Linked DNA regions of Notamacropus eugenii. The protein of the gene in region 1 interacts with the protein of each later gene in a pairwise test. Links are inferred from orthologs where the notes say so. Each region holds a gene or a part of one and is shown in the gene's direction. Other genes may lie near its edges.

Region 1 (7,767 bases):
ATTTTGTAGTCCAGCCTTGGACTACTACAAAAACAGTTGGCCTTGTTTTTTCAGAGTTCTCCTGGGGTCAGCCTAGGTCAGGGGGAAACTATCCATTCGCATACCACATCATAAACACAAAATCAGAACCAGTCACCACCTCCTTCCCCTGTCTGTCTCCCCAGCCAACTAGTATTTTAGTGTGATGGACTAAGGTTGTCCAGGGTTGTCTCTGAGTGGGACATACTAAGAGTGACCAGGTGTGACTACTATAAAGTATGTCTATTACTGTGGAAGGCTAGGGCTGGCCAGGTATGCTAGGTATAGGACATGCCTATGTGAAGACAACAGATCTTAGTTTGTCTATGATAGTTTGTCTGTAATAGACTAGGGGTATCAAGTGTGACAGGTATGAGGTAATGTCTAGTGAGTGTGATAGGCTGAAGATGGCCAGGTGAGACAGACTCATGAATGAGGGGGACCAACATGACCTCAATTTTGTACAAGGATGGGCATTTAGGAGAGCAAAGTTCTTCAAGCACAGCCAAGCCTAGGGATTTCTTAGCCCAAGTTTGGACTTTTCCCAAGGATCCAGGGCACTAGTGAATTGCCTTAATTTGCGTCCTTGAGATCCTACATCCCTCTCTCTGGCTTCCCCATTCCTCTGAACGACCCCCTTCCATCTTCTCTATGACCTCCCTATCCTTCTCACTATACCAGCACCTCTACGTTTTTCTCCCCATCCTCTGTACTGATCCCTCCATCTCTATACTGAGGTCCTGTTATCTCACTGAGCCAGCCCAGTAAGGCCCAGTAAGTCCCATCCTCTCCAAGGTCCACATCTTCCTTCCTGACATCTGTACCAAGCTCCCATGCCATCACTGACCTTTCCCAGTCTTATTGAACCCTCATTCTCACTGACCTCCCCATCTTCTTTAGTAAATATTCCTGCCTTCACTGATGTCCCCTACTTCCTCACTGAACCCTGTCACTCTCCCCATTCTATCACTGAAACCCTATCTTCACGGCAGGGGCAATCACAAGGCTCCATCACTTCAAAGGCCTCAGCCCTGGGGTTCTCATGTGCATTGAACTAAAACTAATCTCTATCCCAGGTCACCTTATACCTGCTGCACCCTCCTCAAGGCCTAACCTGAGAAACAGGGTTGTCAGTTACTTTTCCTGTCACCTGGACAAAGATCCGACACTGAGTTGAGGTAGCCTACCCTGTGACTGGGGCCCTCTGCCCTCCTGCTAAGACAGTTTAGTCCAGGCCTCCACAGAGGGCTCCCTGGTCTCTGGGTTATATTCTGTAACAGCAGACGACCATCTGCTATCAGGAGGGATGTGGATGAGAAACTGTAGGATGGAAACAAAAAGCAGAGATGACTTTCCAGTTGTCTTTCTGTGTATGTTCATGAATGTTTAAAGTATTGAAGGGTGTTTCCAGAACAAGTTTTGCCCACCATGAGGGATAGGGCAGATGTTACAGACAATCAGAAGAACCATTGCAAATAGATTCCCAGTAAGTGAAAAGTCATGTTTAATCTCAGTCAAACCTCTTTGATTTGGATTTCCCTGATCAACACTGAATCACTGAACACTAGTGATGGGAGAAGACTTAGAACATGGAATGTCATGGCTGGGAGGGCCCTTAGAACATAGAATGTCCGAGTTGGAAGGGGCCCTAGAACACAGACTGTCAGAGAGGGGAGGAACCTTAGAACACAGACTGTCAGAGAGAGGAGGGAACTTAGAATATTGAATGTCAAAGCTGGGAGGGCCCTTAGAACCCAGAATGTTGGAACTGGGATGGCCCTAGGATAGAGAATATAAAGGTTGGAAAAAGTCCCTTAGAACACACAATATTAGAGCCAAAAGATCCGTTAGAACACAAAACGACAAATTTGGAAGGGACCTTATCATATCAAAAAATGGAAGAGACTTCAGAACACAGAATGTCAGGCCTGTGAGGGTCCTTAGAACAGAATGTCAAACTAGTTTTGGACCCTAGAACATAGAATTTTGGAAGTGGAAGGAACCTTAGTGTTTTTCCCATTTTACAGATGGGCAAGAGCTGAAGAGGCTGGCCCAGAACCCGGGTCTCTGCTTTCAACAATTTGGACCAGGGTGGAAAATGTATTCTAGGCATGAAATACCTTCCCTACGCTTAGTGGAAGAGGGGGAAATGATGGTGAGGGAGAAGGGGAAAGGAAATGATGTTTCCCAAATGGATGTGCAGTATAGATAGATAGATAGATAGATAGATAGATAGATAGATAGATAGATAGATAGATAGAGAGATAGATAGATAGATAGATGTATATGTATATATGTATATATATTTTTTTTGAGAGAGAGAGAATGAATAAGTTTAGTTTATTTAACAGAATGACCCATTCTTGGATGCTTTGGAAGCACCTCCCGGCTTCAGGCTCCTTGGATCTGTAGTCACTTAATCAGGTCACCTCAGGAGCTCTCCTCTTTGGTACTTTTTCAGTCTACAAGTACTTCCTTTTTTTCCCAAGTAATCAATAATTCATATTTGTCACAGATTCAGATTGGTTTACCTGCCATCCCCAATTATCTGTCCCCAACTGCTTCTAATTAAGGATTAGTGAAGTATTATAGGGGGTTTCACTTTCCCTAATGTGAGGGGCTTGGTCTAGATGGGGTGGGGCAGCAAATTACAATCTGCAAGCTAGATCCAGCCCAGCCTATTTTAGGATGACCAGTGGCTAAGAAGGATTTTTATATTTTAAAATAAATTTTGATTATATTTAAAAATAGAAAATATTTTGAATTTATGTATGTACAATGTATCTTAAAATATAAACATATTCTTAGTTCTTCAGGAGGTATAAAAACAGATAGTGGACAGGACTTGGCTCCTAAGCAGTAGTTTGTGGGCTCTCTGGGCTAGAAAATCTCAAAGTTCCCTCCCAGGTCTCACACTGTGTGTTTATAACAGCCTAGGGATAGCAGGGTTAACAAGCTTAAGATACATCTATGTGAATGTGACAGGGTAAAAGTGACAAGGTTGCATCTAGTTCAAACATTCTGTGTTCTAAGACCCTCCCTGCTCTGACATTCTGTGTGGTAAGACCCCTCCCAATTCTGCCATTCTGTGTTCTAAGGGTCCTCCCAGCTATGACATTCCATGTTCTAAGGGTCTTCCCAGCTCTGACATTCAGTGTTCTAAGGGCCGTTCCAGTTCTGACATTTAGTGTTCTAAGGCCCCTGACAAATATGTTCTATATTTTAAGATTTTTTTTTCCTGACTTAGATATTCTCTGATCCTTTGTATATGCTAGGTAACATTTATTTGATACACAGTGGCAGATATTGCAGAAAGGTAGTCCAGTAATAGTGCAAATTGGCTGCAGGTCATCCCCAAGGTAGCCTATGGAAAACAGTTACCTATGTTTCTCCCTACCCTTCCACCCAAGAAGCTGAGCCTCCCTTCCCTCTCCATGCCAGTTTAGGTGGGATTGGTCTTTCCACTGAGCATGGAGGTACACTGAAGCCCCAAGCAGGCTACAAACAAAGCAGATTTTTGTCATCTTGCCAGGGATCACAATGAGAACCTGGAGTTCCTCCCATCTTGAGAGGAGACCAATAAGTTTCAGAGTCTCCCTTCTCCCAACTCTTTCCTTAGAAGTCCCCAGTCCAGTGAGGAATACACTCCCTACCCTTGAAGAATCTTCATTTGATAGGAGAAACCCAGTTTCTGACCTCCTAAACTGAGTTGGAGAAACAGAGCATATCACACATACTCTAGGAAATGCCAATAAGAACATTAATAACATTCATTCTTGTAGCGCAAACTGAATCCTCAAGTGTTGGTACGATGGACTTAAATCAGGTTAATCCAAGGAAACTTCATGAAGGTGGTGAATTTAAAGGAGATGAGGGAGGTTTTCTTGGCAAAGAATCCATGAGGTTTTCTTGGCAAAGACACTGGAGTGATTTGCCAATTCTTTCTCCGGTGTGTCCCCATTTTACAGATAAAGAACTGAGGCAAATAGGGGTTAAGTGATTTGCCCAGGGTCACTCAGCTGGCAAGTGTCTGAGGCCGGATTTGAACTCAGGTCTTCCTGACTCCAGACCTGTACTCTGTCCACTGTGCCACCTAGCTGCCCCAGTATGGTTTATAGAAGGAACCAAAAATATGCTAATGTGAATATGTTAATAATACCTGACATTTCTATAAAACTTTTAAGGTTTACAAAGTGATGTGCAGTCAGACATCTCATTTGAGCCTCATGGCAATGATGTGGGAGTCAGTGCTACAGGCATCATCATCCCCATTGTATAGATGACAAAATGGAGGCTCTTAAAGGTGAAATGATTTGTCCAAGGCTGTATAGCTAATTGCTGTCCAAAGCCAGATTTGAACCCAAATCTGTCCTTGTTCTATAACCCTAACAGATTTAGAGAGGAGGGGAAATGAAAGGATGGGTATCTGCTGCTGCAGAAAACAGAGCCAAAGGTTCTGAAAAGCAATAGAAGCTGTACAATCACTCTAAAAATATCTCTTCTCGAGGGCTAGGGAAGATTGGTAACAGCCAGGCTGTTCTCAGCCAAGCCGCCACACCAGGCTGGGTCTCTGCACCTGTGGCGGTGACTCACCGGGCAGAGGGAGGAGGCAGTATCTTCTCTCTCTTACTTGAGGGGGGGGGGGAAGCTGGGGGAAGAGGAGGGCACACATTGGCCCCATTGTGCAGAAATGGAGACTGAGGTCTGAGAGAGAGGAAAGGGATTTGACCAACTCTCACGGGGATGGTACAAAGGCATCTCAAACACAGAAGTGTGGCTATCTTTCCTTAGGACTGATGTCCTAGGACCTGTTAGAATAATCAAGATAGGGGACCATGAGTGACACTGAGCTTCTTGGTGAAAACAGAAAACATAGGGCAGGGGAAGGGAGGCAGAAGACCGAGATTCAGATCCTAGCTTTAGTATTTTCTCAGCATTCAGACTAATGCCTTGTACATTATAGGTTGTTGACTTAAATTTTAATAGTGTGACCTTAGGGTTGGATGAGATGATCCCTTCAAACTCAGAGATTTTGTAAGTGAACTGAACAGGGATGAAAAAGGAGGTCTTTCCACTGTGTGACTTTGGGAGGTATTTCTTCTCTCTGACCTTCTGATGTAAGGGATGTAAGATGCAGACTTAATATGAGCCCTCCCTGCCTGCCCCATAAAGACTGTGAAGTCTTTAGATGGAAACAGCTCCTTGAGATGCCCAAAGGAACTGAGCTGAGTCAGGAACAGGGTGAGAGCTGTAAACTATTCAAATATTATCTAGGGGGAGGGTGACCAGTAACTCTCCATCTCCCCGATCATTCCAGAAGAGAAGTGAGCTGAAGTTACCAAAGAAAGGTTTTGGTTAGACACACAGCAAGAAAATGTTTGACTAGACACAAGGAGGAACTTCCCCAGTGCTAGAGATCATATTATACTTCAACAAATGTACTGAGGAAAGAAATAGCATCTTCCCTCTCTAGCTTCTTTATCAACTGGAGAGAAACTGCCCACTTTGATGCAGAAGGATACAAGACATGACCTCTAAGTGCCCCCAGGAAGCAAACCAGTTTTAATTCTTTTTTTTTGAGGGGAGGAAGGAGAGTTATTCATTTGGCATGAATTTATTAAGTACCTACTATGTGCCAGTCATCTTACTAAGTGTTAGGGATATAAAGAAATGCAAATAGCAGATTGAGGAGTCAGGTTTTGACCTCAGGATCAGGGTAAACCAAGAGTCTAGGAAAGGGGTCTGTAGTTACTGGTTTAGATCTGCCAGGGGATGCAGAGGTCCAGAGTTCAAATCTCATAGTCTATTAGTAACTACATGAATGACCTTAATCAAGTCACTACCCTGCTCTGGGTCTCAGGTGCTTCAATGGATGCCAAGATCTTTTTTTACTTCTAAAGCCTTTAGAGAATAGGGGAGATGCTGCTAGAGATCCAGGCGTTCCTTGTCACTAATCTCACAGAGGACAGAGCTGACCCATCCTGGGGGAGGGGGCCCTGAGCTATGCTCCTGCCTCCATCCCCTCTCTCCATCCTTCTCAGGCTGTGTTTTTCCAATGGCCAGTGACGTGGTTGGTTTGGTCCCAGCTGGGGAAGGAGGAGCCTGTGACTCCACCCAAGCCTGGTTCATTACCTGATGTCTCTATGGCAACCACGGGTGACATCACAAGGACCCAAGTCCTGAGGGGGAGAAGGAGGCAGGAGGTAACCAGCTGTAGGCTTGGACCCTGGAGAGGAGATATAGGAATGGGAAACCAAACTGGGGAGGGACCAAGAAAGGCAGCATGGTGGAAAGAATCCTCCCTAGTGGAATGGATTGAGCATTTGGCTTGGAAGCAGATGACCTGGGTTCCCACTCTGCTGCTAACTGGCTATGTGGGCAAGTCACAGCTCTTGGAGCCTCAGTTTTTCCATCATTAAAATGGAACCAACCCCAGGTGGCTCCTCTGACACTTCCATCTTGTCTCTCCCTGCCCTAGCCCTCAACACTAAGAGGCAAGGTAGGGTGTTGTTGTAGGATTAGTGACGGCCCCACGTAAAAGGATGCAAGCATTTTTTAACATCTTTCAGTAGATATGTGGAGGGCTCATCAATATTCTTATTCATCTTTAGAGTTCAGTCTCTGTGAAGGTGAGGTCATAAAATATCAGAGCCTGGAGGACCCTGAAGACATCGAGTGCTAAAAACACAGAATGTCGGAGCTGAGAAAGACCTCAGAATACAGAATGTCAGAGCTGGGAGGGCCTTAGAACAGAGAATGTCAGAGCTGGGAGGGCCTTAGAACACAGAATGTCAGAGCTGGGAGGGCCTTAGAACACAGAATGTCAGAGCTGGGAGGGCCTTAGAACACAGGATGTCAGAGCTGGGAGGACCCTTAGAACATAGGATGCCAGGCCTGGGAGGGCCCTTAGAGAAGAACCCTTGATTTAGAGACTGATGGATGGAGAATTTGAATCCTGTTCTTCCACTTACTGTAACCTGTGTGTTCTTGGACAGGTCACTGAACTTCTGGGCCTCCCTCAGTCTCCTATGCCCCTTTCCTTCTCTCCTTGGAGCTGGATGGCCTCTGCATTTTACAGAGGAAAAAATGAAGAGCAAGGGAGGAAAAGTGACTGCTCAGAGGCTTTGAATCTGGGTCGTCTGCCTGGTTCTAGTGCGGCCTCTCACCATCCCACACATCGTCTCTCCCCCATCTCTTCAGATGGGCTGTACTTGTAGGGCACTTAAAGGCACAGTACCTGGTACATATACAGCAGGTGTTTAATAAATGCTTTGTATCTTCCCTAAAAACACCCACTTCTAGGTTGTATATGACCTGTTAAATGCAGGTGTTCCTGACCCCTGCCCGTTCCTCTGAGAAACCTTTAACTCAGCTGTTTTTCTCAGCCTGCTTGATGGCTCTAGGTCTTACTGGGGTGAATTTGGGGGATATTTGGCCCAGCAGATTGGGCTCTGCCCCAGGGCATCAAGATTCACCCCAGGGAAGGAAAGGATAGCTAGGGTCTGGGATGAGTCCCCATAAGAAACCTCCTACCCATTCTCCTAACTGAGCATATGCCCAGCTGTGCCCATCAGTGCCCTGGGCAGGGCTGAGTGACCCTTCAGTGAGTCACTCCTAATGAAAGATATCTCTGGGCACAGTGGCACTCCTCCTTCCTCGAATAGTAAGAGGGCAAACTGAAACCCGGGCCTATCATCCTATCTTCCTATTCCTCAGGTGCTCAGAGGCCCTTCCCTTCTCATCATCTCA
Region 2 (7,068 bases), on another chromosome or scaffold:
AGAAACCCGAGATCAGGTTGGAGGGGAGAAGAAAGGGGAGACATAGAAGGGATGGATCCTTCTTCCTGCTCAGCATGCCTCCTTTTAAACGGCTGTTTCTAGTCAGTTGGGGAAAAGATTATCTTACTTAAAATAAATTCAATGTATAAGTATGTGAATATATTAAATATATGGGGACTTAAAGAAAAAGAATGGGATGTTCTTAATGAAAATCTGGAAGCAAAGAGTACTTGCTGGCTCCTGTGTCTGAGAACCGGGGTTCAAGGCTTGACTCTGCTACTTGGTAGTTCTGTATGACCTTGAACAAGCCATTTCCCTTTGGGCTAGAGTTCTCATCTGGAAAATGAGAGGAGTTGGCCTGGATCTCTAAGGGCCCTTACACCTCTAGACTCTGTGGTCTCCTAAAATCCAGGGACATCTATTTTGGACTGTCAGGGCTTTCTTTTTGTTCTCTTTCTAGTTTTTGGCTATGTACCCAAACAGTCCCACTGCTCCCCAAAAGACCTGGAGTCCAGCTAGTCTCCTCACATGCCAGGTGAATTCTTATCCCCAGGCCTCTGTTCTCCCTGTTTGAATACCTCTCCCCTCCTTTCCAAATCATCCCCATCTTTCAAAGTCTGGCTCCAATGCCAGAAAGCATTCCCTGACCTCTTGGATAGAAGATAAAGGCTGCTAGGTTGGCCCTCCACCTCACCCAGAGCTCCTGCCCTCCTGCCAAAGCTTTTATTGTGGCTCTATTACTGTGGATGTTTGGATCATAACCTGAACCTAAGGTCTGAAATATCCTGAATTTGGAGTCACTGTTTAGTGTCAGAAGGAACTACAAAGGCTAATCTGGCCCAACTGATGCGGTTTAAGGGGTTCAGGGACCCCCGAAGGACTGAAGTACTGGACAAGTCATCTGGAAAGAATTCACAGACTCAAGCATTCCTTGACTCAAAGTGGCCAAGGTTTATGGTAACGCCACTATGGTGGGCAGAGTTCCTTAAAGAACTTGCAACTTAATAGGAATGATGCTAAAACTTATATAGGAAAAGTAGTGGACCATCTGGCAGATATGCTAATTAAGTGATAACTTACAACCCTGGTCACTGGCGTCATTCACTACTGGAAACCAGGGTAAGGGGTTTCTCAGGGGTGTATTTTTGGTCTTTAGGTTCTGTAGCAAGATAGCTTTGAGAGCTGGTGTCTACAGCTTGGCATCTGGATTGAATATGATAACTTTGGGAATCAATACATGATAATTCTATGGTTACAGAACAATCCTGTTTTTACAAGAGAATTTCTTCAGTGCTCAGCTTGTTTTCTGATGGGGAGAGATAGTTTGTTTTACTGGGGCACACTCATGAGTTATTGGTGGGCATAGTGTCCTTGGGCTCAGGAGAAAACTGTCAGGAATAGCGTTTTGAAGCTAGGGAGAATGTGATCTTGGAAGTGGAGTCTAAGCACAAGTATCAGATCACAACCTCTTCATTTTACAGATGAAGAAACTGAGGCTAAGAAATAAAACGACTTAGCTTCACAGAGAAACAAGTGGGTTTTGTACAGAGATCTCTCCAATTCTAAATCCAAAGCTCTTGGATTCCAACTCTAGGAGCTTATAGTTGAGGTGGGAAGATAAGATGGAGAAAATGTGATCAGACCCTGTCACAATCAACAGTACAAACAATGCTGCAGTCTCAGAAGGCCTTTGGGGGGGGAAGCAAGACCAAGTATACAGGTCTTCTGAGTATGTGTAATGAAGGGTAGAGTGAGGAAAGGCAGGCTAAGAGGAAAAGAAAGGAAACAGAACAAAGAATTATGGTCAGGCAGACACCAAAATCTGCCTGGAGCTAGTTGTGTTGTGTTGGCTGGAAGGGAGAGATAAAGCTAGACCCAGGGCTAAAGGCCTTGAATGATAAGCTAAACAGTGGAGTCAAACTCAAATAGAAGCAGATTCCCCAAAGGTGACGTATTGACTTAGAAACCTACAAATTAACATTAGCTATGAATGCATGTATGTGCGTGTGTACATGTATACAAATATATGTATATACATATATATGCATACACACATACACACACATATATATGTACACACACGTTTTATTTTATTAAATATTTCCCAATTATACTTTAATTTGGTTCAGGCATTGGTTTGACACCTGTGAGCTTTTATCCTGCAGGAACTTTGGAGGGAGGCTAGATGGGGGCAGCTAGGTAAGGGAAGCAGATAGAGCACTGGCCCTGAAGGCAGGGGGATTTAAGTTCAAATCTGACCTCAGATATTTAATAGCCATGTGACCCTAGGTAAGTCAATTAACCTTTTAAAAAAGAGACAGATAGGCTGAATCTAGGGAATTACTTGGTAAAGTTAGCGTTTTAGGAAAGTTCATCTACCAACACAGCTTCAGGCTGTGAACCTGATCTGATTTTGATCTACTAGGGAATGACCCTGGAGGCAAGGTGGTCATGTAGAAGACAGTCTTGGAAAAACTTGAGTGAGGGCCTACATACTGAAGTAACTCCACAAAGGACCTGAGCCAAACTTCTGGACACGAAAAAAAGAATCCAAGAATAGGAAATCTAAAGATAACACCCCCCCCCCCAACTTGAATTCCTAGATTGGGTCCCCAGAGAGCAACAGCTACCAGGGCTCTCAGGGGTTCCCACTCCTAACACTAAAGCTTCACAAGTTTCAGCCTGTATGTCTTCCCTTAACAGACATCTGGTAGACATACTTAGCTGTTTACTAATGCTACTGTTTACTAAGATGGCATAATAAGAGTAGTAGCTATAAAACATTACCTCCCCCCATAAATTGGGGGTGCATATTGCCATAAATATACAGAAGATCTTAATGAGTGGGCTCCAATTTGGAGTCAATGACAGATATAGAGAACAATACATCTTCAAGGCAAATCACAGCCACGCCAGTCCAAGACTCCAGGGTCTAGCCATTTCTCAAGAGATCCTCCAGTGGTTTTCTGCTGAGCTTGAGGCAGGATGCTCTACTTGTAGGACAGGCTTGTTTCTTATATGGCGCAGCTTCTCTGGTGAATAATAGCTCTGCTAGATTCCCCTAAGATTTGTTTACTCTTCACCAGGCAGTTATGGTCTCCTCTTTCTCCAGTGGAGACCTAGCACTAGCAGAATCCTCCCCAGTTCTGCTCCTTCAGGGTCTCAGATAGCAGAAGTTTTAGCTTTTCATCCCAAAATGATTCTTCAAGTATCTGTTGGGCAGAATATATCCTCTTCGGGTACCCGGCTCTCATTCTAAGCTACATGACAGATGAGGATGAGAGCGGAGATGAGAGAGATGACAGAAGTGTCTTCCTTACTTCATACTTCTGATGGGGATAAGATCTGAACCCCCCAAAAGAAAAGACCATGTCTTTGGGATCTGGACCCCTAAAAGGAAAAGTCCCTGGACTTTCCCCTGCAGCTCAGGTCCCTGGTGGTCGCCTGAGGCCCTCCCAGTTAACTTCTTTATTTTCTTCACATCTAGACTCCTTCTCTGTTCTCTCAGCTTTTTGTATAAAAGACCCATCTTGTCTCCATGCAAAGTGCTCAGACTCCTTAAGGGTCTAGCCAATGCTTGGATTACTTAAGAATCTGGCCAATATGGCGCATTTTTAGAATCAGGCCCCTCTTCTATCTGTGTTTTAATAAACCTTGTCTTTGGCTGCAAGAAGGCTTGGGCCAAATTCATTGCGGCAGGACGTGCACGTCACTATGTGGGGTGCCAGCACCCCTAAGTCTCCACAGTTTCGCAGGGCTTCCCTCCTGGCCTGGCTCCTGGACCTTGGCTTCCTTAGATTGCCCCTGTTCTGTCCACAGTGACTGGAAAGAGAAAAGCCCTGGTTCGGAACCCGCCTCCCCCGTTTCCCAGCGCGCGATCCCAGCAGTCACTGGACTTGCTCAGCTTGTTTCCTCCTCGGTGACCAGAGGACCCCCCGTGGAGTTCGAGACACGACTGGAAAGGGCCCGGCGCACGTCGGTCAGGATGGCCTTGAGGGGGCCTGCGGGGGTGGGGGGGGTTCCGTCCGGGGCCGGTGGGCCGGACCACCCTCGGCTGACTCAGCTAGGGGCCTGCGGACGCCTCGACCGTCGGCTAGCCCTCGTGCGCCCCGCCAAGGTTTGCCAGCCCTCCACGAAGGGCTCTTTTCCCTCCTCCCAACAACCCTGAGCCGGATGTTAGGGTTCTCCTCATTTTACAGGTAAGGAAATGAAGAGAAGTGGAGGGCAAGGGGCTCACCCGGGGTCGCCCGGCTCAGGGCTGGCGGGGAGAGCTCCCCTCCCCCTCCCCCAGCACCAGCACCGTGTCTGGGTTCGAATCCGGGCTCCAGCAGCTAGCTGTGCGCGCCCCGACAAGTCCCCTAACCTCTCCGGGCCTCAGTCTCCCAGCTATGTAAAAGGACCGGGGTGGGAGGCCCGGACCGGATGCACCTGGGAGCTCCCCTTTCCTGGGCCCAGCTCCAAGGGGCCAGCCTAACTGGATGAGGAAAGGAACTGCTGGGGCGGGGGTGGGGATGGGGGGGTCGGAGGCGTCACGGGACAAGGCCGCGGTCAGGACTGGCGCCTAGCTTGGGGTGATCGGCGTCCGTCGCTCTCCTCCCTCCCTTTTTCCCCCGCCCTCACACACCGAACCCCAGGCAGCCCGGGGACCACGTGATCGTGCCATCACATGACGCTCTCGTAATGGGAGGGTGAGGTTGGCGGGGTGGCAGCGGGGGTGGGAGGGAGTCCGGGTTCTGCCGCCCCGCTGGGGGGGTGGTGGCAGCCAATGGCGGTGGGCCGGCCCCGAGCTCTCAGCCAATAGGAAAGAAGTGGGCGTGGCCCCCAAATCTGGCCGGGTCGGTCGGCGTGTTGCGGCCCCGCAGTTTGTGGCCCAGGGCAGTGAGGGTTGCGCTAAGGTAAGCAGGGCCGTCTCCCGGGGGACCCCGGCCAGCGGGGCTCTGCTTGGGGAGCGTGGGGGGGGGGGGGCTAGTGGGCTCTCCATGCTTGGAAATTGGGAAGGGGGGCTTCTTTTGGGGGGGGGTCAGCCCCCAGCGGGGGGGCTGCTAGTGAGCGGTGACCTCAGTGACTGCCTTCCTTGGAAGAAAGGGAGCCTGCCCATGGCCCCCAGACCCCTTTGAAGTTAATTTCCCGTCTCCCCCACCTCCGTTTAAAGTGGACACCCTGAATGATTTAGAACACTGAAAACAAATAAAATAACAAAAAAAGTGGGTACCCTGGCATCCTGGGGGTCCCGTCTACCCCCCGTGCCAGTTGGACGTGCTCTCTTCCCTGGGCTATTATCTGCTGGGGCAAAGTCCCCAGAGCCAGGAAGGAGGCAGGCAGGAGTCTGTCCCCACCCCCCCTCAGTCCCTAGGGAAGGGGTGAAGAGCCGGACACAATCAAGCCTTGGGCAGCCTGGCACAGCCACAGGACTGGGCCCCCTTCACCCCATCCCCTCTGTGGCTCCCTACATCCCTAGAAATAGCTTAAGAAGGAATAGCCTTTGGGAGTCTGGTTCAGGGTTCAACAGCTCCCTAATAACTTTTTCTTTTGGGTGTCTCACCCTCCTGGCTTCTCTCTGCCATTTTACAGCCCTGAGTACAAGGCGGTCCAAAGCAGGCACAAGAACAGAGAGAGAGAGGAGGTTGGGAATTGGTATTACTAAAACGTTGTTTCTCTCTTCATGCTGTACAGCACAACACACACAACTCCCCTAGGCTTGATTCCTTTTTTTGCAAACTCAGTTGTATTTCTCCTGTGGTTTTTTTTTTTTTTTTAGGAGGAGCCAAAGGTTGGGCTTGTATGGGTCAGGGCCTCAGGTCCTGAGAGGAGGAGTTTATCCAAGTAAAAGCTTTCATCTCCCCATAGAGGAAATAATTTTGTAGAGGCTGGAAACCTTAGAGACTTTGGTGTCTGCCCATCTTTAGACCTTACATTCCGAGAGGCCGAAAGAGAAACAGGTGGAACACCTAGCTAGTGTGGGGAAAACAAGAAATAAAGCAGAGGAGGACCTAGCTGGACCTCAGAAGCTTTGGATTTTTTCTGGGAAGAAAGGAAGGCGGAGGATGAGGAAAGGAGCCTCCTCGTCAAAGTGACTTCTGTGGTGACCAGGGAAGAGTAGGATGAAGGATACCTGGGACTTAGTTGCAGAGCAGGGTTTGAATTTACCGTCACCACTACTGTAATGTCCCACCTACTTAGCTACATCAGATTTGGGGGGCTTAGTCTCTCCCTGTTTCTGCCCCTCCCTCCATCCCAGCTTGGGGATATCTGGATTTCAAGGAAACTTGGTCTCTCAGATGAGGTAAAGGGTAAGAAGGAGGTAACCTCAAAGACCTGTCCTAAAGCTGTTCTCCCCTCCCAACCTATCTCATCTGTGGCTTATGTCAGGAAATGATGCTGACACTTTCTCTTAGCAGTTACTCTTAGTGACCCTGATTTTTTTTTCTTCTATTTCCTCATCTCATCGATTATTGATGGAGGGGGTGAGGCAGGCAAACGTAGAGAAAGAGGGACAAAGAGTTGAATCAGAAACATTTCCCAGATCCCAAGAGCCTGGCCTCTCTCCAGCTTCCATTTTGGAAATTTGTTGAGTTGTATTTAGTCACGTCCAACACTTCATGACCCCTTTTGGGGTTTTCTTGGCAAAGGTATTAGAGTGGTTCGCCATTTCCTTCTCCAGTACATTTTACAGATGAAGAAACTGAGGCAAACAGGGTTAAGTGACTTGTCCAGGGTCACACAGCTACTAAGCATCTGAGGCCTCATTTGAAACCAAGTCTTCCCAACTCCAGGCCGGGCACTCTATCCACTGCACCATCTGGCTTCCCATCATCTTGGAAATGTGTTCTAATATTACCCAACCTCTTCTTGGATCAGTGAAAATGACATCCTCCCCCATAAGTTCTTAATCAAGGGCTGGGTAAGGGAACCCATATAAGAGTTTCCTGCCCTTACATCTATCCTTCTTTTGCAGAAGTTAGTATCACCCCCCAAACCCTTCTTCCCACCCCATCCCCACTCTTGAAATGATCAGTCTTTTCCCTCTTTGAGCTTGAAGGAAGGGATGACCCAACAAGTCTGGGCCAG
Region 3 (7,320 bases), on another chromosome or scaffold:
TTGTTATAATCTCCCCACCCTCCTTCGCCCATCTAAAGTAGGCAAGAACCAGATAGCAGAGATCAGTCATGGTGGTGAGCTCTACACTGTGGGAGCCTCCAGGCTGCACCATTTGCTTGGCCTTTCTGAGCCTGAGCATGCTCAAGGAGGGTAAGGGGGGTGTTCAATGAATTAGAAGAGATACAACTGTCAATGCACCATTTGCACTGAGCAAAAGAGTGGATAATATTTGTTTATTTTTTTAAGGTGCTCAACACAACACCTTGTACGTAGTACGTTCTTATATAAATACTTATTCCCTTCCCCTAATCCAAGACAGAGAAATAATCCCCAGATCATGTGGATTAGGTTTGGGAATGAATGCTCTCAAGAAGCAGCTCATTGAGTCAATCTCTGCCTTCACTGCTTCAGGCCCCAGTTTCTCTTTTTGTTGCATTGGCCAGAACCTAAGATTCCATCCTGCCTTAATATTCTGAGCAATTCTCTTTGCAGGTGCCTCAGTCTAATGGCTCAGGCTGTAGGCCAAAGGAGGACCCCAAGGCTGCCACTCTGGAATCCTACGACAGGATGAGCCACTTGTCCATGACTAATCAGACACTGTACATCTTAGAAAGACTAACACCCGTCTGAGGGACCTCCAATTTCCCAAAGCATTTCCATGCATACTTCAGTCACAGCCACAAGATTTGGAGCTAGTCATCTGTGGATACCATCTAGCCTGGCCCCTTAGTGTAGAAAGAAGGAAATGAAGTAGAGGGAGGCCCAGAGAGCTGAAGTCACTTGTCCCAGGTCAAACAGGCTATACATCATAGGACTAGGATTCCAGTGCACGTCTTCTGCATTTATGCCTCTTGGATGGTCTTTTCACTGTACCCTGGAGCCTGCTCTGGCTTAGTAGCACCTCTTAAAAATGTTAGGAACTAAGCAGGCCAAATCAGAACTTTCAGTAAACATTGTTAAGGGGCTCCTGTGTGCCAGCCACTGCGTTAAACTACAAAGGAAAAAGAGAAACAGTTCCTTTTCTCAAGGGCCTTACCTGCTACTAGGCAGAAACAACACATTGACAAAAGAGTAAATGCAAACTGACATTGTGTTCATCCTTCATTGCTGAAGAAGACCAGGCCATCAGAGAAATGATGACATGACTTGCACTTGACTTTGATTTGAGTGAGGGAGGGTTGTGCAGGTCACTAGCCTCACTTCTCCTCCAGAACCATTTGAATCCAGTGAGCAGATATTCATCAGGATGACTGGAGATGACCCAGGATGCACTGGAAGACCTCAAGCCTTTTAGACCAAGGTCTTTACAGGCACTCCCTTAGGGTGAGGTAACTCCCATTCATTGAACAGGCCTGTTTAAGAAGTATCGAGGGCATGGCCCCTTTAATGAGGCCAAGAAAAAGAAAGACATCAGTCTGGGAGGGAAACAGCAATAGTTACTATTAATAATCACTCCAAAGCCAGGTGGGTCCAGGGGCCCATTGGGGAAAGGAAGGGAAGGGGAAGGGAGGGAAGCAAACTGACTAAGGGAAGAGGGACAAGTTACTGGGGGTGGGTAGGCTTAGGGGGAAGTACTGATTACTGGGTGTAGGGGGCGGTGCTCAGCGCTTGAGCTGAGTCTGGAGGGAACCTAGAGATTCTAAGAGGCAGAAGGGGAGTGGGGAGTACACTCTGGCCATGGGAGACGTTGTGGGTGGGGTAGGAGCTGTGAAAAATGATTATTGATAATCAATATCTTGGAGATTTCGAGCTTCTCCCTGCCCCCGTTTTCCAAAGTCCTGACTTTAAGTTCAGTTTTTCTTTAGAAGGACATTGCTGATAATGAGATTGCAAGGACTCTCCTTATCTTGGTCAGCCCTCCACCCAAACTCGCAAGTAATTTAATCCAAGGTAGGGAAGCCCTGGTGTTCTACTTAAGCTTGGGTGGAGACAGACTTTTTTGTCTACATAGCCCAAGGCTGGGAGTGGTCTGGTATGGGGGTGTTTTCTCTGTCCTGGAATGAAATGATGACAGAGTGACTTCACCCTCAGTTGGAAGGATATATAAACTATAAACTACACATGCGAACCCCAAAGGGAGCTCAGTTACAAACTGCAGGTCCCATGCATGATGCGTGCATGTTACCTGCTTTGAGAGAAATAACCTAACTCTGAAGGGGGACGGAGCTAAGGTCCTACCCTGCTGGGGCAAGGCTAGCTTTTCAATAAAAGCTACCAAAACTCTCCTTGAGACTTAATTGGCTCAGAGAACGAAGACTCAGGTCACGGATCTGGGATTCTAGTGTCCTGAGTACCAAAAAGCCAGGGCACAAGAAGTCAGCAGCTTCTCTGTCCAGTAGAACAGCACAGGCACCACAGACACAGGAAAGCTAGAACCAAAGGCTGCCACCTTGTTGAACATGCCATCCCTACACTTGGGTAACGCCCCCATGTTCAATGGGTGTCTTATCCTATTCCAATCTTGAATCTGACCTGCCAGACTGGCCTAAGGGAGGCCTGAACTACCATGCTGGACAAGAGAGAGATCGAATGTTGGATACAGGGAAGAGTGGGTAGGTCAGTTGGGCTACAGTATAATGTATTGTGAGATGGAAAACTGTGGGATAGTCTGGAGAAAGTGTGCTGGAGACATAACGTAAAGTTATTTTGTTTTGTTTAAGGACAAAAGAGCATGTGTTTTATCCTGGAGGAAAAGGGGAGCCACTGAAGGTTCTTGAGCAGAGGAGGAATATGTTAAAAGCCTTGCTTTAGGAATATTCATTTGGTAACTGTGTGAAGGATGGATTCTAGAAGGGAAAGACTAGAGGTAAGGAGAACAAATGGGAGGGGGAGGAGTTTATTAAGTACAAGGAAATAAGGGCTCAGAAAAGTTGAATGACTTGCCCGGGGTCAGAACAAGGTCAGAGACAGGACTTAAATCCAGGATTTACTGACTCCAAGTCCTGTACCCTCTGGCATCATCTTTCCTCTCAAGGTCGTGGAATGGACAGCCTGGGTGAGTTCTAGCTCAGCTCTTGGTTAGCAGCTTGGCTCGCCACAGGGATCTTGAAAGGGTACATGTTAATCTCCAACCACCAATCCATCATCATCGTTGCCACCACCACCATCATCACCATCACCATCACCACCGAAGTTATCATCACCCTTAAGAATAGCTCCTTCCTTATGTTTCTACAGCATTTGGGGTTAGCAGAGCATTTGCCTCACTGCCTTGTGGGTTGGGTAGAGAAGTTCATGGGCTCTGGACCCAGGTTCAGATGTCAACTTCTGACCCTTGGATGCTTAACCTTTGTGGGCCTAAGCTAATCCTTCTATAAAATGAGACAACTGGACTAGAGGACCTCTGGGATATCTTCCAGCACTAAGAATCTAGGAGTACAAGTGTGATTCATCCCCTCTCCCAAAAGAAAAATGGAGTCCTAGACAGGGGGTTGGAGGTAATCTAGCCCTGCAGACATTATCTGGTGAGTAGGAGGCTGGGAGCTGCTTCATCAATGCTTGTTGACTGACTGAGTCAGTCAGACTACTGCCATCACATAAGAGTGGGTACAAGGAGGAGAGGAAAGGGCAGGATGGAGAATCACCACTCCCAGAGTTCCAAGGACAGTGAGTCCCACAGAGGCTAATGTCATAGAACTCGAGGATCTCAGATCCACAACTGGTGGCCACCCTCCCACATGACCTTGTGGTTCACAATATTGGGTTCATTGTCTTCTTTGATCCTGATAGTGCTAGGAGAGAAGTATATCCTGATCCTCATTTTATGGATGGGGAAACTGAGGCAGGCAGCAGTCACGTGACTTGCCTACACTCTCTGCTGGGAAGCGTTAGAAGCTGGATTCCAACTCAGTCTTCTGACTCTGGGCCCAAAGCTCCAGTTTTGCTCGCCCGTCCTACCAGTTGACTCCACTGGGTTGACCAGAGGTCCCCTTCAGGCCCAGGACAATTAAGTGACAAGAGCAGGGCCATGACTTGGGGTGGCAAGGACACTGGAGGCCCCTGGTCGGGAGATGGGGCCGCCCAGGAACCGCTGTTCTAAGCCAACCTTTTTTTGGAGCCGAGGAAGCTGAGACCAGAGAGAGGTCCTGGGTCCCGCCCAAGTGTCGGGAGCCGGGCTTCGAACCCTTGTCCTGGCAGAGGGAGCGGCCCCGGCGCCGACGCAGCAGCGACCCCTGGCGGCCTCGGCTTTCCCGAGGGCGGGGCGGGGTCACGAGCCGGCGGCGCGGCAGCAGCCTCTGCCCGCCCCGCGTACGCAGGTGCGCCCGGCTGCGGAGGGGGCGGGGGCGGGGGCGGAGGCTGGGGCTGGCGCGCCTGCGCACTGAGCCCAGCCCAGACTGTCACTGGGGTCTCGCTGCTGAGCCGCCGCAGAGCCTAAGCGCGAGCGCGAGCCGGGGCGGGAGCGGACGCGGGCGCGGGCGCGTGCTGCGGCGGTGGCGGCGGGGCCGGCGAGGCGCGCGCCGAGGGGACCGAAGCGGCTGCCGCGGCTGCTGCTGCTGCAGAGAGACAGCCGAGCCCGCGACGGACGGACAGGCGGCGGGACCGGCGCACGGACAGACGGGCGGGCGGACGCACGCTCCATCCCCGAGTCCCAGCCCGAGCTGCGGAGCGCTTTCAGTTGCATCGAGTGGCAGTGCGTGCTTGCCCCGCGCCCCACCAGTAAGTGCCCGGCGCCGGCGAGCCTTCCTCCTCCTCCTCCTCCTCCTCCCGGGCCCGGGCGGGGGGCGGGGGGCCAGGCTCTCCTTCCCATAGTCCCAGGGTCCGGAGGCACCCATCAGAAATCCCGCCTGGGGCAGCCGCGGGGTCCGTCCGGGGGGAGGCAGCTGGGAAAAGGGGGGCTGCCCCTCGGGGGATCGCGCAGCCCGTGCATGAACAGCCCCGGTTGTCCCGCACGTTCGATCGGCCCAGTCCTCGATGGGGCGGACGGCTCGACGCCAGCCGCGTGTTGCTGCCTGGGCTGCTGGCCCGGGGTCCGCCGGGTGCGCACTCATGGGCCGGGCAGCGCGGGGAGGGGAGCGGATTCCGGGGCTGGCTGTTCGGGATCGCCCGGGAGGCCCCGGCCCCGCATCCTCGAGGAGCGCGGGGCTTTTCTGGGCCCTGGGGGCTCGCGAGAGGGTTGCCCGGGTGGTCCGGGGTGGCTTTGTCGGGAGCAGGCTGCCGCGCAGGGTCGTGGGGGCTGCGGGGCGGGCGCCAGGAGAGCCTTCCTCCGAGAGCCCGAGGGGCTCCCCGCCCGCCTGGAGGAGTGTTGCGGGCTCGCCGCCCGCCCGCCACCCAGCAGCGCGGGGGGATGGGCTGCCACAGGAGCCAAGGTCATTGGGGCTTCGGGTCGGGAGGTTCCTGGTGCCCAGCCCGAGCAGCCCCTTCTCGCGAGGTCCGAGGCAGCCGGGGCTCCGGACGTTAGATGGGGGGTTTAGGAGGTGGGTGCGGGCTCCCGCAGAGGACGGGCTGAGACGGCCTCGCTGCCAGCCTAGTTACCTGGTCGGGCTGCGACCTGGGCTTTCAAGCGAGCCTCGCGGTGGCTCCTCCCGCCCCGGGAAAGAAAGCAGATCTTGGGGAGGGGGAACAGGAGGAGGACGAAGAGGGAGGGTTTCCTTGGCGGAGGCGTTGAGGGTCCAATTGAGACAGATCTCCAGGGGAGCGGAAAGGGCAGGGGGGGATGCGTGTGGCCAGCTGGCCTTTTACTGCTTTACCCTCTCACCTGGCTAACCTGGGGGTCCAACCTTGCGTGCAGTCCGAGGCCGCCGGGGACTTCCCAGACTTACATCCTCCCCATCTCCCCCCGGTGCCCTGGTAATATCCGAGAAAAGGGCCCCCTGGGAGCGTCGGGGAGAGGGTCCTAGGGTACGGAAAGCCAGGGAACGGCTCTGTGGCTGGTGTACCAGAGCGGGGCGGGCGGGTATGTGAGGGAGTGTGTGTGTGTGTGTGTGTGTGTGTGTGTGTGTGTGTGTGTGTGTGTGTGTGTGTGTGTGTGTGCATGCGCGCGTGTGTTTGTGTGCCCGTGTGTGTGCGAGTGTGTACACGCACGTGTGTGTGCGTATGTGTGTACACGCACGTGTGTGCCTGTGCTTGGGTGCTGAGGAGGACGTCGACCATTCCAACACCGAGGGCTTCCAGAGACCTTAGAGGCCGGTATCTCCTATCTCTCCTCCCCCCGCCCCCATTTTACACTGTGAGAAACGGGGAAGGGGGCGGGTGGAGGGAGCTTGCCCAAATGAGGGGGGGGGGGGGAGTTATGTAACAATAACTTACATTTCAAAGCACTTTCGTGTTTACAAAAGGCTTTGTACCCGCCTGGGGCAAGCTCCGGAGCCCCTTTGGTCCCTTCCAGCCCCTGGCCATCTCTAGTTGTATAAGCAGAGGCTTGGGGTCCTCGGTTCAGGGTTGGGAGCACCTCCCGGCCCTTGGCCCTCCTTTCTCCTTCATAGCTCTTAAAGGATGCGTTTAAATGGGTCCCCTCAAACTCAAGAAATCCCTTTCCACCAAACAAGGTTTATCCATATTCCCAGGCAGTGGGATGGAGCAGGGCAGCCTGTAGGCCAGGGGGCTTCGTTAGCACTGCGTCATGGACGGTGGAGGATGATGTGTGACTTAAAGCCTAGGCATGCATTTAGGTGTTAGGACTAGGGAAGAACTCTGGCTCTGTGTATCTTCTGTTCAAGAAGAGGTTGGAATAGGTAAAACATTCTTAACCTGGGGTCTATCAACTTTATAATTAAATATATATTTCAATATAGTTGGTTTCCTTTGTAATTTTATGTATTTTATTTTATGCATTTATAAACATTTCTGAGGCTTCCCTAGACTGAACCCCTTGCCTGGATTCTCTCTAAGAACCTGTCCTCAGATGTTAGGTGCTAAATTTCCTGTTTGATTGGAACTCAGGGCTTAGATACTCAACATGTGTTCTTGGTTCTATACAGATTAGTCTCTCATTAGTCTCAGCTCATGTCCTAAGCTCTTCCTGTCCTCCAGACTGGTTTTCTTTCGTCCATCCATCCAAAAGAGGTGGAGGTGGGGGCAGAGAGGCAGGGGCAAGAAGGTGAAAAACCAATGAATTTGGAATCGGAGGACCTGAGTTCAAATCCAGGCTTTGCTGCCTCTCCATACAGCAAGGGGGTAGGGCCAGGCGATCTCTAAGGTCCTTCAGCTTGGTGCAGGGAAAGGAGAATCTGCTCCACAGTCAGAGGAATTGAATCTCACCTCTTCTGCTTACTGCCTTCCAGATTTGGGACAAAGCCCTCCCCATCCCCTGGCCTCTGTTTCCTCCTCAGTAACATGGAGGGGCTGGTCAGATGGTCTTGGAGATCCCTAGTGCTGGCCCTA
Region 4 (7,901 bases), about 24 Mb from region 1:
AAGACTGATTAAGATTTCAACAGGTAAAGAGAGGGAGGTAGGGCAGTCCTAACTGAGGGGAAAATACAAGTTGGTTAAACATGACATTGAACAGGTCTCTTCCTCTCAGTTTCCATATGTAGAAGAAAAGGTTAGATCAGACCAGGGGTGGGTTCCTGACCTTTTTTTGGACCCCATGCCCCGCGGCTTGCTTTAAATCTTCTCATCTTTCTGTCCAATAGGAAAAGAAATAAATATATATTTATAATCATTTATATATAGATCATTACATTATAATATATTATATAATAATATATATTTATAAATATGTAGTTATAACAAGGTGCCACAGTTGATAGAGTACTAGACCTGGAGTCAGGAGGACCTGGATTCAAATCCAGCCTCACACACTTACTGGGCGAGTCATTCGGCCTCTCTGTGCCTCAGTTTCCTCATCTGTAAAATGAGGATAATAGTAGCACCCACCTCACAGGGTTGTTTGAGCACCAAATGAGATAGTGCTTGGAAAGCTCTTTGGAGATCTTTAATTTGCTATAGAAATGTGAATTACTGTGCTCAGACCTTCTAGGTGCACACATCCCCCACCTTGGGAAGCCCTACACTGTGTGACGATCTCCAAGCTCTCTCTCAGCTCCAAGGTCTATGAGTCCCAGATTCCAAGCACTGCAGTTAAAGGGACAGCAGTGGGTGTGTAGCTGAAAGGAAACTGGACTCAGAGTTAGGAAATCTGGGTTCAAATCTAGATCTTTCCACCTGTTCACTGTGTGACATCGAACCGGCTGCTCCTCTTCTCAGAGACTCAGTTTCCTCATCTGTAAAATGAGGGACTGGACAATTTCCTCCCTCCCGGGGTGTTTGGAGGAAAGGCAGTTGTAAAGAAGATCTAGAAATGGGAATCAGTTATTCTCAAGCTTCTCCTACCCCCCTGCTAGCACCTTCTCCCAAAAACCGGTCTCCCAGGAAACGTCTCCCCCCAAATCATTCCCCAGAGAGAATTCATCATACTCTCGTGATAACAAGTGCCAGAAAGCTCCCCACACCACCCCCACAGCTCCTCCAACTTCCCGTCAGCCTAGACAAGGCAGGAAGGCAAGAAGGTACTCTTGACACTAAGTACAGCTGGTGAAGTCCCAGAAGGTAAGTCACAAAGTAAGCCAGATACAGAACTCTGTCTCCAGGCAGCCCCCAAAGCAACCTTCTAGGCTTTCTGCTGCTAAAACAAGACCAGGGACTACCCTGATTCAAGCTCAATTCTCCCTCCAGGGGCCCGACATCCTGCCCCCCACACCCCTCAGCTCTATTGGCTGAGTCAGGACTCTCCCAAAGGAGCTATTAACTCATTGTGTGACATTGAAAAAAATGCCTTCCCTTCTTTGGATCTCAGTTTCTTCATCTGTAAAATGGAAGATCTAAATACTTATGTTCCTATGAGTGTATGGTGAGTTCCCCTCCTTGTCCCTCCCCACTCCTCAGATGTTGTGAAAGGTAGGAGGGTGGTTGCTGATGATAAAGAAGCTCTCCATGGTCAACTGGACGTCCTGGAAACATCTTCACTGCCCCTAACCTTCCTCGCTGCCTCTTGCTGACCCCTCCCAATGCTCCCTACTGCCTCCAACCTGCTCTAATGACCTCAGTACCTCCCACTGCCTCCCAATATTATTTTCCTTATAGCCCCTAATGCCCTTCATTGATCCCCAAAACCTCTAACCTTCCTCACTGCCCCTCATTAACCCTCAGCACTCTCCAACCTTTTCTTACTGACCCCCAATATCCCCACTGCCCCTACAATGAGTCTGCTCCCCAGCACGTCCCACTGCTCTTTCCACTCTTCACTGATTTCTCAGCATATTATCCACCCCCAATACTTCCACTAACCCTTCAACAGCTCCCAGTGGTCCCCCACTCATACCCCTCACCCCCATGCTTCTAAAGACCACCTCTTCCCCACCCCATGCACGAAATGCCTGCTACTGTGGGGTTGGTCTCTGTCTCCCTCTGGTGACCAAGTTAGGTTCTGCATTCCCCTGTACCATCAAAGGACTCTGGGGAGGCTTTCTGCATTAGAGGGTATGGGGGGTGGGGGGTGGGGGGAGAATGGGGTGTGTGCTGCTGAATCAATGAGGATGTCAGCTTCCTTTGCCACCAGTGGGCAATTAATTGGAAGAGGACTCACAGGCTGCTAAGGAGTTTATTCGCTCACTAAGGTCTATCTGTCCAGTCTACACTATGTACAGGGACTTGAGTGTGCCATGTTGGGTTGGGGAGACCCAGGGATCCTGATCCAGATTGGTTCAGACAGTGACAGAACAACTGGGCTGAAGTATGGTGGAAAGGACACAACTTTGGGAGTGAAGAGATGGCTTCAAATCCCAACTCCAACACTGGCTGCCTGTAAGATTTAAGGCCACCTCCCTCCCCTCCTCTGGTCCTCAGTTATCTTTCCTCATAGTAGAGGAGGTATGCAGTAGTGGATACAGTTAGGAAGGCCTGAGTTTGAATTCTGCCTCAGAGATAATCTTTATGACCCTAGGCAAATCGCTTAACCTCTCTGGCCTCAGTTTCCTCATGTGTAAAATGAGATAGCTGGAATCAAAGATCTCTAAGATCCATTCTAGCTCTAAGTGTCTATGAACCTATGGTAAAATGAGGGAAGCAGGTAACCTCAATGACCTCTCTAGCCCTTTCCAAATAGGAAACCTCCGAACCCTGAAGCTGATTGCCCTCCAGGTGAGAGTGAGCATGGGAGGCTGCCTAGGGGGAAAGCACACCCAGAATAAGAAAGAGGCTGGCCAGGAATATTCACATCATCAGCGACAATAATAATATTTGGCCCTGCCTGTTACTAGAAGTCGCATCATCACCTTGTTTGTGCATGCCTTTCCTCTTTGGTTCTATGAAGAGGCCTGGATTTGATGGGTCCAAGTCTCTGCTTCTCAGTCTTGGTCCCAATGCTTCTTAAAGGAGTTTTAATCTTGCTTGGAGGTAGAACACAAGGCCTCTTCCATTTGTAAGCCATTTTCAAGAATAACTATGTTATTTGTGCCGCTAGGTTGCACAGTAAGACCTGAGTTCAAATTCAGCCTCAGACGCTTATTAGCTGGGTGACCCTGGGCAAGCCATTTAACTGTGTTTGCCTCAGCTTCCTTATTGGTAAAATGAACTGGAGAAGAAAATTGCAAAAAACTCCAGTATTATTGCCAAGGAAAACCCCAAATGGGATCACAAAGAGTCTGGCACAACCAACAAACGATTTTGTCAGGATGTAGGACTCAGGACCCCTCCCTCCCTAAAATAAATTCCTCCTCCTGCAGTTTACCCTGATGGTGGGCGGCTGTGAACTTAGCTAGACTGGTCCTTGGACAACAGACATGAACTCCATCACTGAGCCCAAACTTGAAGCCCTTTCAGCTTGGTAACATGTGCCTGAGCTAATAGTGAGAAAGATTTTTAGGACAGAGGGTGTCCTATCACAGAATCAGAGATTTCAAGGGGGAAGGTGCTTAGAAGTCATCTTGTCCAACTCCCTCCTTTTATAGATGAGCAAACAGAGGGACAGAAAGGTTAGTGAGCCTAGGTTACACAGTAAATGGTAGAGCTGAGATTCAAACACAGTAAGGTTCGGACAGTATAGCCCTCCTTTGGTATAGGAAGAGAAAGAATCCCATAGAGATGAAATGACTTGCTCAAGGCCACACAGCTAATTGTGTGCCAGGCCCTGTGCTAAACATTTGTCAAGCGTTGTCTCCTTTGAGACTCACCACAGCCCTGGGAGGCAGATGCCATTGTTAAGTCCATTTTACAGTTTAAAAAACTGAGGCAAATAGAGGCCGAATGACTTGTCCAGGGTGATACAGCTAGCGAATGTCTGAGGCTGGATTTGTTCCTGACTCTGGACTCAGAGTTCCATCCACTGCACCACTTTGCTACCTCTAGGCACACGTTCTTTCTGTAACACTTTTAGGTTAAAGTTTACTACTGCTCCGAGAAGTAGGTAGTACAATCATTATTTTGCCTTTTTTTTTTAGGTGAGGAAAGTAAGATTCTGGGACATTAAAAAGCAGGGAGAAGAGGGAATTTTATTACAACTTTCAGATATTGTATTATGCCTTTCAAATTGGCAAAGATGACAAAAGATGAAAATGGTAAATGTTGGAGGGGCTATGGGAAGATAAGCTCACTAATACATTGTTAGTGGAGTTGCAAATTAGTACAACCATTCAGGAAAACAATTTGGATCTATTTTCAAAAAAGTAACAAAATTGTTCATACCCTTTGACCCAGAGATACTACCCCAGGAGGGCAGCTAGGTGGTGCAGTGGATAGAGCACCAGTGCAGGAGTCAGGAGGACCTGAGTTCAAATCTCACCTCAGACGCTTGACACTCACTAGTTGTGTGACCTTGGGAAAGTCACTTAACCCAATTGCCTCATCCTGGGTCATCTCCAGTCATCCTGATGAATATCTGGTCACTGGATTCAGATGGCTGTGGAGGAGATGTGAGGCTGTTGGCCTGCACAGCCCTCCTTCACTCAAAACAAAGTCAAGTGCAAGTCATGTCATCATTTCTCTGATGGCATGGTCTTCTTCAGTAATAAAAAACGAACACACACAGACACACACACACTACTCCAGGACATATACATTAAGGGGGTAAAAACCAAAGGGTGAAAGGTCCCATAAATACATAACTGCTTTTCAGCAGCATCTTTTGTAATAACAAAGAACTTGAAAGAAAGAGGGAGCTCCTAGGGCCCAGCCTGGGGAGTCAGGTTGTCTGGGGCGCACAAGGGCTGAGGGGACTTGTCCAGGTTCCCAAGAAAAGAATTCTCCTTTGCCAAGGCTGAGACTGAGCTCTCTGTGTGCTTGTGTGCCCGCAGGCTGGGCCATGGGGAAAGGAAGCAGCAAGCTGGCTCCGGAGGTGCTGGAGGACCTTGTGCAGAGCACAGAGTTCAGTGAGCAGGAACTGAAGCAGTGGTACAAAGGCTTCCTGAAGGACTGTCCCAGCGGCATCCTCAACCTGGAGGAGTTTCAGCAGCTCTATGTCAAAGTAAACCTCCCTTCTCCTCCCCTTCCACCTTCTCCTGCCTGGGCTCTTGGGAAGAGGGATGGAGGATGGATGTAGAGGGAGGTCAGGTCCAAGGTCAGCTGAGAGAGGGTCCTCACCCAAGGGTGGGGAGTTTGCTACAGGGGCCTTCGCTGTACTGAGAGATGTGTGGATCCTACCTGGAGGCCCTCTCCATTCTCCCCCTTCTCTTCTGAGCCAAGAGCTCACCTGATCCCCAACAGGCCCACCTTTCCCTGCCCTGGAAGTGTAGGTGGACTTGGGCTTACTTCCACCATGCTCTAGGAGGCTAGGGTGGGGGGCAATGGACTGGGGGAACTCTAGGGACAAGCCTGGTGGCACCTAGGCCTACAGTTTCAGCTCCCACCAGGACCCTGGGTTTCAATTTTTTTAAAATTTGTTTTATATTTGTTCAGTTAACAAAATCTATTTTCTCTCCCTGCGCCTAATGAAAAAAACAAAAACAAATCCTTTGTAACCAATAGGCGTAGGCAAGCACATAGGCAAACAAGACAGATTCCTTTATTGGTCATGTACAAAGCTATGTGTCTCGTTCTGCTCCCTAAGTTGATCATCAGTCTGTTGGGAGGGGGGTAGCTTTCTTCTTGGTCTCTTGGAACCCTGGCTGGGCATTGCATTGACCAGAATTCTTAAATCTTTCAAAGTTGTTTATCTTTACAATGTTATTGTTACAATATGAATTGTCCTCATGGTTCTGCTTACTTTTCTATGCATTGGTCCATACAAATCTGCCTTGGGCTTCACTCTCCTCTCCCCCAGGGCACTTTGCCTCAGTTGTCTGCGCTGTCTCTTGTTCCCTGTCTGATCTTTGCTTCTCTCTTGTGGTGTGTGCCTCCTTGTCTCCTTGATTCCCTTTCCCCCCAACTCCTTCTCTTCCTCTCCTCCATCCAGTTTTTCCCATATGGTGATGCCTCTAAGTTTGCCCAGCATGCCTTCCGCACCTTTGACAAGAACGGGGATGGGACCATAGACTTCCGGGAGTTCATATGTGCCCTGTCGGTCACCTCTCGAGGAAGCTTTGAGCAGAAACTTAACTGGGCCTTCGAGATGTATGACTTGGATGGTGATGGCCGCATCACCCGCCTGGAGATGCTGGAGATCATTGAGGTGCTGGTGGGGAGTCAGCAGGGCTGGGGCATTGGGAGGGCTGGGGGTCAGAGCAGGGGAGAAAGAGGGAAACAAAGGAGGGCAAAAAGAAGTCGGGTTTGGAGGACAGAGAGTGGGCTGCATGACTGGGGTGGTTGGATTTGGAAAGGTCAGGGGTCAGAGTAGCAAGTTCAGAAGTCAGTTTTGTTTTAGATCAGAGGTCAGAGTAGTCAATCAAGTTAGAGTGTGAAGGCACCGGTGACCATCTAGTCCAGCCCAGACATGAACAAGGAATTCCCTTGGAGCCCTCTAGTGACAGGGAGCTCATTCTTTCTGGGGGAGTCCATTCTGATTTTGCACAACCCTATTATGAGGAACTTTTCCCTTTCATCAAGCCTGAATTTGTGTCTTTTCAACTCAGCTACAGCTACAGGTTCTGCCCGCTAAGGCAAGAACAAGGCTGATCCCTTTCCCACAGGAAAAGTGCTTGAAGGTGATAGATATCACTGCCCGAATCTTCCCCCACCAGGTTAAACGGAGCGCAGTTCCTTCAGTTCCTTCGGCCAGTCTTTAGGCAACATGACTCTGAAGCCCCTGGTCAGGGGTCAGATATCAGAGTGGAGTAGTGAAGTTTGGGAATTGGTGGTCAGGGTGAGTGGTGAGGTCTGAGGTCAAGGTTCAGAAGTCAGAGTGGGACAGTGAGAAGGCTTGGTCTAGGCCAGTAGGGCCTGAGGGGCTGATCCCAACCCCCCCTCCTTTTCCTACCTCTCCACCTAGGCTATCTACAAGATGGTAGGAACGGTCATCATGATGAGGATGAACCAGGATGGGCTGACCCCTCAGCAGCGCGTAGACAAGATCTTTACCAAGATGGATCAGGACAAAGATGACCAGATCACCCTGGAGGAGTTCAAGGAGGCCGCCAAGAGTGACCCATCCATTGTGCTCCTGCTGCAGTGTGACATGCAGAAGTAGGAGGGCCTAACCCCCTCTGTCCAGGGCATCCCTGTGCCCTTCCACAGGACCTCCTAGGGTCCTAACCCCTTTGTCCAGGGCATCCTTGTGCCCTTCCTCAGGACCTCCTAGGGTCCTACCCCCTCTGTCCAGGGCATCCCTGTGCCCTGCCCTGGCCTCCAAGATCCTAACCCCTTCTGTTCAGGGCGTCTCTATGTTCTAGCCTCCTCTACCCAGGACCTCCCCTCCCCTATCTCCAGGCATTCCTGGGTCCTAGCCCCCTCTACCCTGGCATCTTTTTGTCCTATCCTCTCCTCCCCTACCCCTCCTCAGAGCCACCCAGTTTCCAACCGTCCTCTGCCCTGGACCTCCTTCTCCCCATAGTCTTCTGATGTTCTACACTTTTCTGCCCCAGGTTTCTCCCATCTTGAGGCCTCTCCAACTTCCCCTCCTTGGGGCCTCAGCCCACCTCTGCCTTCCCTCTCCCCAGGCTTTTCTAGTGTTCCATCCCTCTTTGCCCCAGGTATCCCTCAAGCCCTAGGCCTTGGTTGTGGCTCACCCCCCCTTTCCATGGGCCCCCCTCATCCCAGGGTCTTCCAGGGGCCCAGCTCTCTTAGTCCTGGGCCCCCTCCCTGTGTGACCCCTTTCCCCAACCCTACAGTTTTGCCCCTGGTTCCCCCTTCTCTTCTTTTGAACTTGCTGGCAGAGCTTAGGGGCAGGCCTTGAGGAGGGGGGTATTCCTAGCCCCAGATCCATCACATCCTGACTTAATACTCTA

The links.
Region 2: the proteins of FAM131C (region 1) and GRN interact in binary tests that used the Homo sapiens proteins (3 or more experiments, as listed by UniProt). The link is inferred for Notamacropus eugenii from reciprocal best matches to the Homo sapiens genes FAM131C and GRN.
Region 3: the proteins of FAM131C (region 1) and VSNL1 interact in binary tests that used the Homo sapiens proteins (3 or more experiments, as listed by UniProt). The two-hybrid records come from large-scale screens. The link is inferred for Notamacropus eugenii from reciprocal best matches to the Homo sapiens genes FAM131C and VSNL1.
Region 4: the proteins of FAM131C (region 1) and HPCAL4 interact in binary tests that used the Homo sapiens proteins (3 or more experiments, as listed by UniProt). The two-hybrid records come from large-scale screens. The link is inferred for Notamacropus eugenii from reciprocal best matches to the Homo sapiens genes FAM131C and HPCAL4.

The regions. Positions count from the first base shown.
Region 1 is NC_092876.1:55,563,086-55,570,852, reverse strand, and holds the start of FAM131C (protein FAM131C), read left to right. Parts: upstream 1-4,749; 5' UTR 4,750-7,218; coding exon 7,219-7,273; intron 7,274-7,767.
Region 2 is NC_092873.1:349,631,383-349,638,450, reverse strand, and holds the start of GRN (progranulin), read left to right. Parts: upstream 1-4,057; 5' UTR 4,058-4,173; coding exon 4,174-4,199; intron 4,200-4,792; exon of another isoform or gene 4,793-4,895; intron 4,896-7,068. UniProt on the Homo sapiens protein: Secreted protein that acts as a key regulator of lysosomal function and as a growth factor involved in inflammation, wound healing and cell proliferation. Regulates protein trafficking to lysosomes, and also the activity of lysosomal enzymes.
Region 3 is NC_092872.1:756,458,818-756,466,137, forward strand, and holds the start of VSNL1 (visinin-like protein 1), read left to right. Parts: upstream 1-4,309; 5' UTR 4,310-4,656; intron 4,657-7,320.
Region 4 is NC_092876.1:79,423,876-79,431,776, forward strand, and holds the start of HPCAL4 (hippocalcin-like protein 4), read left to right. Parts: upstream 1-4,884; 5' UTR 4,885-4,885; coding exon 4,886-5,047; intron 5,048-5,974; coding exon 5,975-6,190; intron 6,191-6,946; coding exon 6,947-7,144; 3' UTR 7,145-7,901. UniProt on the Homo sapiens protein: May be involved in the calcium-dependent regulation of rhodopsin phosphorylation.